3 linked regions of the Cricetulus griseus genome follow. The protein of the gene in region 1 purifies or fractionates together with the protein of each later gene. This does not show direct contact. Links are inferred from orthologs where the notes say so. Each region holds a gene or a part of one and is shown in the gene's direction. Other genes may lie near its edges. The genes, in order: Utp4, Wdr43 and Wdr75.

The links.
Region 2: the proteins of Utp4 (region 1) and Wdr43 purify together in Homo sapiens (co-immunoprecipitation; 5 studies listed by BioGRID and IntAct, counting the BioPlex papers as one, with this or other methods). This does not show direct contact. The link is inferred for Cricetulus griseus from reciprocal best matches to the Homo sapiens genes UTP4 and WDR43.
Region 3: the proteins of Utp4 (region 1) and Wdr75 purify together in Homo sapiens (co-immunoprecipitation; 3 studies listed by BioGRID and IntAct, counting the BioPlex papers as one, with this or other methods). This does not show direct contact. The link is inferred for Cricetulus griseus from reciprocal best matches to the Homo sapiens genes UTP4 and WDR75.

What each region holds. Positions count from the first base shown.
Region 1 is NC_048596.1:183,222,373-183,226,021, forward strand, and holds part of Utp4 (U3 small nucleolar RNA-associated protein 4 homolog), read left to right. Parts: intron 1-2,593; coding exon 2,594-2,765; intron 2,766-2,860; coding exon 2,861-2,952; intron 2,953-3,649. UniProt on the Homo sapiens protein: Ribosome biogenesis factor. Involved in nucleolar processing of pre-18S ribosomal RNA. Part of the small subunit (SSU) processome, first precursor of the small eukaryotic ribosomal subunit.
Region 2 is NC_048600.1:11,921,573-11,925,221, reverse strand, and holds part of Wdr43 (WD repeat-containing protein 43), read left to right. Parts: intron 1-2,918; coding exon 2,919-3,056; intron 3,057-3,649. UniProt on the Homo sapiens protein: Ribosome biogenesis factor that coordinates hyperactive transcription and ribogenesis. Part of the small subunit (SSU) processome, first precursor of the small eukaryotic ribosomal subunit.
Region 3 is NC_048595.1:402,297,334-402,301,565, forward strand, and holds the start of Wdr75 (WD repeat-containing protein 75), read left to right. Parts: upstream 1-1,423; 5' UTR 1,424-1,772; coding exon 1,773-1,855; intron 1,856-4,232. UniProt on the Homo sapiens protein: Ribosome biogenesis factor. Part of the small subunit (SSU) processome, first precursor of the small eukaryotic ribosomal subunit.

The sequences.
Region 1 (3,649 bases):
TTAGAAGAGTTTTCTCACAGCTAACATGTTTCTTATTTAAATCTATTTTGGGTATTTCATTTCTTGTCCTGAACATAGTTTGTATATAGTCACCTAATGGCAGGAACACATTCTGAGAAGTCCATCAGTAGGTGAATTCAACATTGTATGAACTTCATAGAGTATTCTTATGTAAACAGGTAGTAGGGAAAGCTACAACATTGCATACCTAATGTGCCAATTGTATGTGCTTTTCTTTTACACAACTGGCAGCAGATAAATTTAACTCCTTCTAAACTATGTAAGCACTGATCTAGCACCTACCTCATTCTTTAATAGAAATGTCTAACTTCATAAAGATGTTGTTGCTAGGCTAGAAAGGCGGCTTTCTTGGTGGCATTTGCCACCAAGGAGAGAACCAGCCCCGAAAAGTTGTCATCTGACCTCCACACAAACACATGTGTGTCTGTATACACATACAAAACAAATAAATAAATTTGTTTTTTAAAGATGATATGCCAGATAATAGTGTTGCGCGCCTTTAATCCCAGTACATGGGAGGCAGAGACAGGTGGATCTCTATGAGTTCCTGGTCTATAGAGCTGGTTCCAGAACAGCCAGGGCTACACAAAGCAACCCTGTTTCCAAAAACCAAAAAGAAAAAAATAAGAATAATACTAAGGAAATTTATGTTTTATATAATAAAAATACCAAGTGTCTTATGTCAAACTGTAAGACATTTTTGTTTTTGTTTGTATTTTAAAAGTTATAGCCAGGCAAAGAAATCCTGATGCATAGCCTGGTGTTGGTGGCACACGCCTTTAATCCCAGCATTCGGGAGGCAGAGGCAGGTGGATCTCTGTGAGTTCGAGGCCAGCCTGGTCTCCAGAGCGAGTGCCAGGATAGGCTCCAAAGCTACACAGAGAAACCCTGTCTGGAAAAACCAAAAAAAAAAAAAAAAAAAAAAAAGAAACCCCTGGGATTTTGTTTTTTACTTTTTTGTTGTTGTGGTTTTTTAATGGAGTGTGCTGGATGTCTCTACAATTTTTTTCAAATGGCTGCAGAACCTGGAAAAGCTGTTGCTGCGCTATTGATTCATAACATACTGCTATTATTGGTCTTTTTTAAATATATATACATACATACATATACATATATAATTTGAATTTTTGGAAACTTTAGCTGTGCTGTCAACTTTGGAAAAAAGTATCCCAGTTTACCGTGTTGAGTTGGCATTGTACAGAAATTAACAGCCATATTGTTCTAGAAATGTTGAACTTAATTTTTTTCCTTTTGTACAGGGGGTAACGCACTGTATTAAATATGTAAGGTCTTATCTACGTGGGTTTGATTACAAAATCTAATAAACTATTAGATTATATGTATGTTGTTTTTGTTGGGCTTTTTTGTTTTATTTTTCAAGATAGAGTTTCTTTGTGTAGTCCTGACTGTCCTGGAACTCACTTTATAGACCAGACTGGCTTCAAACTCAGAGATTTGCCTCTGCCTCCCAAGTGCTGGGAGTAAAGGCATGAGCCACCGCTGCCCAACTCTTTAATGTGCCTGCATGTGTCTGTTGGATCCCTGTTAGCTGCCATGTGAGTGCTGGTAATTAAACCTGGGTCCTCTGGAAGAACAGCTAGTGCTCTTAACTGCTGATTCATCTCTCCAATCCTGTTTTTGTTTTTTTGATTGTGTGCAGGTATAGGTATGTGCACTGGAGTGTAGAGGTCAGAAGCTTCAGATCCCTTTGGAGCAGGAGTTATAGGAGGTTGTAAGCTGTATTATATTACATGTGTGCTGGGAACTGATGAAAGCAATAGTGCCCCTAACTGCTGAACCATCTTTCCAGCCCTGTTATTTTTTGTTGTTGTTTTTAGATTGGGGATTTTGTTTGTTTGTTTGTTTGTTTTTCCAGACAGGGTTTCTCTGTAGCTTTGGAGCCTGTCCTGGAACTCACTTTGTAGGCCAGGCTAGCCTCAAACTCACAGAGATCTGCCTTCTCTGCCTTTTGAGTGCTGGGATTAAAGGTGTGTGACACCACCACCCTGCCAAACCCTGTGATTCTTAAAATCTTACAGCAGAATAGAAGTTTACCACAGAGTACAATTTAAAGGTGTGTTTTATACCAGCATCACTGTAAATTGTTAGTAATGTTTTGTGCTACATTTTGACAGCTATGGTATTACTAGATAATAGGAACTTTTGGTTCATTAGACTTTTCATGGTCCGTATATTTGGTTTGTCATTGAATGTGTAGCTAATTGAATGCTAATTGTTAACTTTGTCCGCAGGGGGCGATTACTGCCTTTGTGTGAGCTTTCTCCTCTGATGGAACTGCCTTACCTTGGGTACCCCCACCCACCACAAGGTTTCTCTGTGTAGCCTTGGCTACCCTAGAACTTGATTTGTAGACTGGGATGGTCTTGAACTCTCAGAGATCCACCTGGGTGCTGGGATTAAAGGCGTGCAACACCTTGCCAGGCAGGAACCTCCTTTCTAATTCAGGACATGAGTTTGTCTCCCCTGAGCTGCCCAGATAGAAATCCTGAAGGAATATTTTTCCATCTGAACCCTGTTATGTTGACATCTACCCCCTCATTTAATTTCTCAGCAAGAAGACAGTTTTGTGGTGGGTACAGCCGAAGGCACAGTATTCCATTTTCAGCTGGTCTCCGTGACTTCCAACAGCAGTGAGAAGCAGTGGGTACGGACCAAACCATTCCAGCATCACACTCACGATGTACGCACTGTGGCCCACAGCCCAACAGCTCTGATATCAGGAGGTAGGTCCTCCCCCAGCCAGCTGCTCTTTACTCTGCCCAGCTCTGGCTGTTTTCTTTTCATGAAGGATTTTTCTCATTGATTGCCTTTGTTTCAGGCACTGACACTCACCTTGTTATTCGTCCTCTCATGGAGAAAGTAGAGGTGAAGAATTATGATGCTGCCCTCCGAAAAATCACTTTTCCCCATGTGAGTATCCCCTCTTGCCCTCAGCATCTCCCCATCCGTCTATCCAGTCAGCCTGAACACAGCTCATGCTATCTAAAGCTCTCTCCATTCTTTTCTGAGTCAAGCTCCCTCGAGTACATGTGCTCTGCATATATGCATATTGTGATAATGAGGTAGAGCCAGCTTAGGTGTTGGGGAGGTCTCTCAACTTATCGGGAATGGTACCATTTACCTTGAAAGGACACTACAAACCTAACTTCTCCACCTGAATAATAGAGCCCACCCTGAAAAACAAGCGAACAAAACTCCTATTAAGTACAGTCGTTAAGGGGAGCCATCTCCAGCCCCACCTCTCTCAACTTTAAAAACAAGATCTCACTTTGTAGCACTGGCTGGCTTTGAACACCTTGTGTAGACCAGACTAGTCTTGAACTCACCAGCCATCAGGAGCCTCATTATCTTTTGAATTGAGTCATTTCTGTGCTGCCACTATCCTACTTTGGATCAGTGTCTTTTCCCATAAATTCCTTTTCAATGACTTTTTTTAGTGGTTTCCTTTTTTTTGTTTGTTTCTGAGACAGGATTTCTGTGTATAGCTCTGGCTATCCTGAAACTCATTGTGTAGACCAGGCTGGCCCAGGACTCGAGAGATTTGCTTGCCTTTGCCTCCCAAGTGCTGTGATTAAAAGCATGTGCCACTGTGACCAGGTCCCTTATC
Region 2 (3,649 bases), on another chromosome or scaffold:
GGTCTAGCATGGAACTTACTCTCCAATGTGGAAGTAGAGATAATACCACCATACTTCCAGAGCCCTTAGCATTAAATGAGGCCACGTATATGATTGTTGTAAGACCTGGTCCATAGACAGTACTCATTATATGAATCAGTAAATGTTCTGTCTGAACTCACACAGTGCTGTATCCTCCAATGTAAATAAGTTCATAAGAGTTTCCTGCACTTGGTTTAGTAGTCAGCAGTTTGCCACAAGGACAATGTATGGTGATACTCCTATAAGCAGAGAACGATAAATTCATGCTTCATTTGTTTCTTGGGTAGTGGGTTATAGTAATGGTTCATAAATGTTTGAAGAAGCTAGATTACTTTACCCTGTTTCCAGAATGATCATAAGGACTTTAAGTTTATGGCATGACAGTTTTAGCATTTCTCTGGTTTAGATTTGTGATCAGAAGCTGTCATGCTAGGAGCCACACAATCAAGCCACCTAGGAATTGATCTTTATTGCTTCCCCACCCCTTTCCAAGACATGTCTTTCTTCTTCCTCTGGTTGTGGAACCCTGGCAGTCAGGCATGCCATTCTCATGTTGGCTACTACGGTAAATTCTGCTTGGTGTAAACATGACTGAAGGACATGGCACTGCAGGCACTAGGTGGGAATGGAACTGAGACACTGGTGATTTAGCACAATTCTGCTGTGTTCCTGTCAAGAGGCCTCAAGTATTTAAGTGTCAAAAGAAGGTAAAGGTTGCAGAGTAGATCCTAGTCGCAGAAACAGAAGAACATTGTTTTGATGTATTTGTGACTATGTATATGCTTTTTAAAATTCTTATCTATGAAATACATGTCAGAGTTAGTGTCATTAAAACAGGCCAAGAAATGGATTTAAGCTACTTACTAAAAACTGAACATAAATTTTCAGTGTCTAGAGGTCATTTTTTAAGACTGAGTTTGATCCATTAGTGGATAGAATGGACAGGTAAGGAAATGGTAAGACTAAGTCTCTGTGTATGTACCCAAACTCTGATTCTGTAGTCTCAGTTTGAAAAGCCATTGCTTAATTGCTGACTAGAATCAGTCAGAGCTCTGGCAGTTTGGTCATGCTTTGTAAACCCTTGTCTTCACCTGTCTATAACTTGCTGCTTTTAGAAGTCACACGTGTGACAACCCCAGCCTTGATGCCCTTGATCAGATGCATTATAAGCGTCCATCAGAAAGGCTTCTGGTGTTATCACTTAGCTCAGGTTCAAAATCTCTTTACTCAGGAAATCACATTCTTTTTGTTAGTTTTCACTTCTAGTGGTTCCATGCAGATTTTCCAGTTACAAGTACTTGAATCAGTTTTCAGCCAACCTTTCTCACTCCTTAAGCTTTATGTGTAGTCTGTATTCATGTGATGCTTACCTCTTTAGAGGAAACAGCTATGACTAACAGAAATGGACAGATCAGAATTTACTGGTCTATGACACAGTATGAGTTCTTAAGAGAAGCAAGAGGTTTTTGGAGGAAAAGTGTGTGTGTAAAGTTTAGAGAATATGGTGTAAGTTGGAGCTAGAATCAATAGCACTGACCTCTTAGATTGAGGACTGTTTTGTGTGGAATTGTATTTACAACACTAGATTTTGGGGGTGGTGAATAAACACTTATGTCCCAGTCAGAGGGCCTGAGTTTGAGTCTTAGCGCCACATTGGGTGGCTTACAGATGCCTATAACTAGAGCTCCAAGGGATCTAATACCCCTGCCTCTGGGCATTTATATACATATGTACACACACTAATATTTTTAAGCCATTATATTTTGTTGAGTAGAGTATTGCTTAGCTTTAGACTAATGTCCTTGATGTTGTACAAAAATCCTTCAAAGTGCCAGGCGGTGGTGGTGCACGCCTTTAATCCCAGCACTCGGGAGGCAGAGGCAGGCAGATCTCTGTGAGTTCGAGACCAGCCTGGTCTACAAGAGCTAGTTCCAGGACAGCCTCCAAAGCTACAGAGAAACCCTGTCTCGAAAAACCAAAATAAAGAAAAAAGAAAAAAAAAATCCTCCAAGTGATTTCTTCCACCAGCCTTTCTGTCCACCAGAAATAGATTCAGAAGATGGGACAAATAGGAGTTTGGTAATGTTTTATTTTTTTTTTCTGGCCTTCAACTCAGAGAGATCTACTTACCTCTGCCTCCCTAGTGGTAGGATTCAAGGTGTGTGCCACCACTGCCTGCCCAGCTGCTTTCGGATAGTCCAGGCTGGGTTCAAGCTCTTACATAATGGAGACTAGAGGTGTGCCCACACAGAGGAGAGACTGCTAAGGCTGTAGAGTTTGTAGGGTGTTGCAGACCTGAGAAGTTTGGGGTTTTTGAATATTTGCTTTCCCTTTTCTGTTTGAGCATTCCTACTGAAATGGTCGTTTAGTGCCTTTCCCCCCACTAGTTGGATGCCTGTGTCTTCAAAGTATGCAGAAGCAGTGAAGAAGCATGAAAGCACCACATCAACCCTCAAGTCAGCCACTGGATCCCACTGCTAGTCAAAGCTGTTTGTTAACTTAGATCCAAGTTAATGTATATTGATATAAAAATGTTTATTTCTTCTTGAAAATGAAACAAGCTTGAGGAACAAGCTTTGGGAGAAAAATGGAAGAGTTGACTGTTCCAATGGAAGAATTTGGGCCTGGACTTACGGATTCATAAACCCTTGTGGATCTCTGCTTGGGGAGGGGAGGCTTTCCTGGGACCTGCTAGGAAGACTTGATAGTGTTTGAGAAGTAGAAAGAGTGTTGACACATAGGAAGTGGTAGTTTGCAGTCTGACCTCTTTCTAAAGGGGTAAGTGTCTTTGAGGGCTAATGGGCACTGGTGTTTATATATTAATGATGTTTTGGTGTGTATGTGTGTATTTGAAATACTAAGTAGTTAAAATGTTATTTTTATTTTTTGTTTTCCAGGAAAGTCATCAAAGGAAAAAAAGGAAATCAGAAGTTATAGGAACGAGTGACCAGGTTGATTTGTTGGCTCTTGGCACAGCAGTTGGTAGCATTTTATTGTATAGCACAGTAAAAGGAGAATTACACAGTAAATTAATAGTAAGTATATTTACATATTTTATATAAAAGATGTGACAGATTATTAGAAATACTTCAAGATATTGATGAGCCTTTTCTGTGTAGAAGCAGTTTCCCATCTCAATTGCATTACAATTACAGAATATTTGTTAAGAGCTGTAGTAGATAATGCTCACCTGTATGAGTTAAGAGTATGGAGAACTGTTGACTAAAGGTAAAGTCAGAAGGGATCAGAGGGACTTTCAAGTTAGTATAGGTGATAGCTTAAGGAAGATGCTTTCACCCTTTGAGGGAACAAAGGAGGCACTTGGAATTGCTGCTGAAGCTGAGACCTTAGGAGTTGACTTTGCCAGCACTACTGTGGGCTTGGGGTGCATATTTCAGAGGCTGGTGCTCCTGCTCCTGCTTCTGCTTCTTGATGTCTCTGAAGGGAAGGGTGATGCTGGTTCCTTCAGACTGCCTGTTGCCTTCAGTTTACACCATCAAGGGTGAAGAAGCCAACTGTTGGGGTGATGCAAAGAAGGACAGGAGGAATAGTTTTTCCCTCCAGCCATGTCTCCTCACAAAACACATTGGTAGTGAATCCAGCTGGCAAGGCAGAATTGTGTGTTGTA
Region 3 (4,232 bases), on another chromosome or scaffold:
TGCTTATATATATTGTGGGTTCTGGTTTTGCATGTTTATGAGACTTAGAGTGTGCAAATGAGTTGTATATTTGTGTGCTCTGTATGTTTGTTGTGCTTTTCTTTGACTCTTTTCTGTTTGCTTTGTCCTATTTTGTTTAAATTTTTATTATCTTTTTTTAGATGTCTGTTTATTTTCTTTTTCGGGGTCATTTTTTCATCTTTGTAAAATTAAAAATTTCAATTTATTTTACACACCAACCACAGTTTCTCTTCCCTCTTCTCCCATTCTCTCCCCCACCTCCTTTTTATATCCCCCATTCACTCCTCAGAAAGGGTAAAGCATGGGAGTCAACAAAGTATGGCATATTTAAGTTGAGGCAGGACCAAGCTCCTTCCTGCTGCATCAAGGCTGAGCAAGGCATCCACCATAGGGAAGATTCTAAAAAGCCAGCTCATGTGCCAAGGACAGGTCCTGGTCCCACTGTTAGGGGCCCCACAAACAGACCAAGCTACACAACTGTCACACACATGCAGAGAGTCTAGGTTGGTCCCATGCAGGCTCCCTAGCTGTCAGTCTAGAATCCTTGGGGTACTCACCCATAAGTGGATATTAGATGTAAAGCAAAGGATAGTCAGGCTACAATCCACAGCCCCAGAGAAACTAGGTAACAAGGAAGACCCTAAGAGGGACACAGGGATCTCCCTAGGAAGGGAAATTAGATGAGATCTCCTTGGTAAACTGGATGCAGGGATGGGAGAGGGAATGATGAGTGGGAGGGTAAAGGGGAGGGGATAAGAACAGGAGGGATCCGGATGGTTGAGTTGGGGGGAAGGATGGAGAGAGCAATGAAAGATATATCTTGAGATTGTGATGTCTAAAGCTGTTTTGACCTTTGAGAATATATTTTCCGCTATGAATAAGCATAAATGTGTGGTGAGTTGCAAATGTACCAAGCCTCTGCTCCCGATAGGATTAAGCTATCAGTAGCTCTTCCTTAGGGGTTCTCAGCACAAATGGGATCTATTATTGACACATTAAGAGCTCAATATAGACAAACATGCCCTAATATGCAGGAACCACGAACATAATGCATATATAAAGTGTTAGAGAGGAATCAACATCCTCGGAATTCAGGACTAAAGCCAAAGGAACTGAACAACCTTAGCAATCCCAACAGCCATTGCAGCTTTTGTTTTTGTTTTATTCTTGGTTTTGAAGACTGGTTTTCTCTGTGTAGCCCTGTCCTGGAACTCGTCCTGGAACTCGCTCTGTAGACCAGGCTGCTCTTGAACTCACAGAGATCCGCCTGCCTCTGTCTCCCTAGTGCTGGGATTAAAGGTGTGCTCCAAGCTTAAAAAAAAAAAAAAAAAAAAAAAAAAAGCCTTAATTGGGCAACCGGGGTAAAACTGGCGCGACGTGATTGCGTCATTTCGCCGTCGCTCTATTCCTGGGACAGAAAGGGCGAGACCTTCGGTGGGAGGAGTGGCGCTCACTTCTGCCTCTGCGGCGGCTATAAGAGTCGGACTGAAGAGGCCGAAGAGAAAGCTGTTTGCATTAAATAGTTGTGGCGGTATTGGGCATGGTTTAATTTTGTGCATGGCTGTCTGGCTTCACTCTTAATTTGACAGCGCCCAAACTAAAGATGGCTGCGCAGGCGCGGACCTGACCATAGAGTGTCGGAGCTAGAGAAACCCGGGCGGAGCGCGGCGGAGAAACGCGCCAGTCTAGCCGGCCTTTGAGGGAAGTTAGTGGTGCGGCGGGCGCTCGCCGGTTCCTGCGTCTGCGCGAACATGGTTGAGGAAAGCGTGCGCGTGGTTCGCTGCGGCGGCAGCCGGCTCAACTTCAGGAGAGCCCTGTTCTCTGCGGATTCCAAGTATGTCGGGGCTGACGGGGCGCCGGGCTCCTCGGGCCGGGGAGGGGACTGTCAGGCGCGGCAGAGAGCGAGTCCGGACTCCGCGTGCCCAGACCCGGAGCTCCCGGGGCACCCTGGCCTTGTTGCGGCGTGGGTGAGCCTGGGCTCCCGGACTCCACCCCCGTGCGGGAGGTCGCGGGTGCGGGGACAGGTCGCGTGGCCAAACGAGGCCAGGTCTGCGCGGCTGGAAAATGCTCCAGGCTGTGTGCTGTTCCGCCCAGACGAGTGTTCGTTCTCTTCGTACGGAACGTTTTGGATCGCCATTGTTACTTAGGCTTTTTACTTTCCTGGAACGTCACATAGTAAAAACCGATGTTAGATCTGTAAGAGATAATCAGTCTACAGAGTTTGGGAAGAATGAAATGTCTAGGTGTACACAACTTTTACAACAGCGCCTGGCCTCAATGGCACGCTGCGAGTCAGCTGGGCATCCTTGCTGCTACATAGTATCATGTTAGAAGAGACGCCCGCTAGTAACTACTAAGTATTTACTCAGTATTTTTAAATTACTTAGTAATTATTTATTTGTTTATTTATTTATTCAAAGTACTCTGAATAGAGATACTTAGTAAAAAAAAAACTTTATTAGAAGGGTAAAGATTGAAGATTGTATTTATGGAGGGTGACTCTCCCTGAGTACCATGCCCATGGATGTATGATGGTATGGAGCTGGTTTGTTGAATGGATGAGTGATGAAAGTAACTTTCACACATTCAAGTCAAGGGTTTTTACAAGATAGTCCTTACAAGTAAAGGTAGTTTTGTTGGCATTGTTTTATGAAATACGGGGGGGCGGGGAGGAGGGGACACGGACGGGCTTAGAGTTGTCACAGTTCTGATCCTTCAGACTCATCCTTATATCCAGTTTCACCCTTCATTGAACTGCACCTCGGCTTAGCTATTAGAATGAGGTATGTGGTCCATTTCATTTACCAAGTCTGATAGTTAGATGGTTTTGTTTGTTTGTTTTGTATTTGTCAATTGTTTTATGGCGTTGGTGGCTCATGCCTTTAATCCCAGCACTAGGGAGGCAGAGGCAGGCAGAATTCAAGGCCAGCCTGGTCTACAGAGCTGAACTTTCCAGGACAGCCTCCAAAGCAATACAGAGAAACCCTGTCTTCAAAAAACAAAACACACAAAACACCATGACCAAAGCAATTTAGAAAACGAAATGTTTAATTTGAAGCTCACAGTTGCAGAGGGTTAGAATCTGTGATCATATCATGGTTGATATGATCTTGGCTCTGGAGCAGTACCTGAGGCATCTCCATTCAGAGAGAACTAACTGAGAATGGCTTGGGCTTTTGAAATCTTCAAGCCTGCCCCCAGTGACACACCTCCTCCAACAAGGTCATGCCTTGTAATCCTTCAGGAATAATTTTTCCAACTGGGAACCAACTATTCAAACATCTGAATCTATGGGAGCCATTCCATTCTCAGTGAAACCACCACACTAGGCTAGGCTGGTTTATTGAGGATATCAATGAAAGGCCTCCCTTTTGGCAGGATCCAAAAAGATAGTGGGTTGTTTTGCTTTGTTTGTGCAGATTGGCACTAGGACCTTGCATATACTAGGCAAGCACCATCACTGAGCTCTACCTCTGAGGAGACACACACACACACACACACACACACACACAGCTACCTGTTGGCCAGTAGTTTATAGACATACCATCAATTGTGAGCCACATTCTATCTTTAAAGATGCAAACAGGTAAGCAACTCAGTGTCATCGTTTTGCTAAAGCAGGCTATATCTCAGCAACCTCTCAGTCACATCTCCTCTTAGGATGTTCATGCACAGGCACTTTGGGAACACAGAGAATAGCCTGACTGGTCCTCACTGGTTTGAGCCTTCCACCATGTGTGGGAAGTGTGAGATACAATTGGCACCGAGCAAGTATCTTTTCTGAACTTTCCTTATGAAAAGTTCTATTATGAATGTAACCACCTTGGGTTATGAAGGAGCATCTGCTTTATGGGAGGAAGCCACAACTCCAAAGAGGTATAAACAAAATCAGCATTTCAGCAGTTGGAAAAGAAGCTGATAGAACCATTGAGAGCACCGTTCACTCAGCATTTGTGAGTTGATGTCTCCAATCAGCTGTGGAGCTCCAGTGAACCACTGAAGAGTAGCTGGATATCAGTGTCTGCACCATTAGTCCCATTGTTTGTGCTATGGTTCTGTATTACCTCATAGTCCTTTACGTGTTAACAGGTGAATCCATCTTTGATATCCTCATAGGTTTAACAACACATGCATTTGAATGTACTGTTCTTAAACTATTTGGAAAGGTATTTGCATGTCGTTGTCTTTGTAATAGGCCACAAAAGGATTAT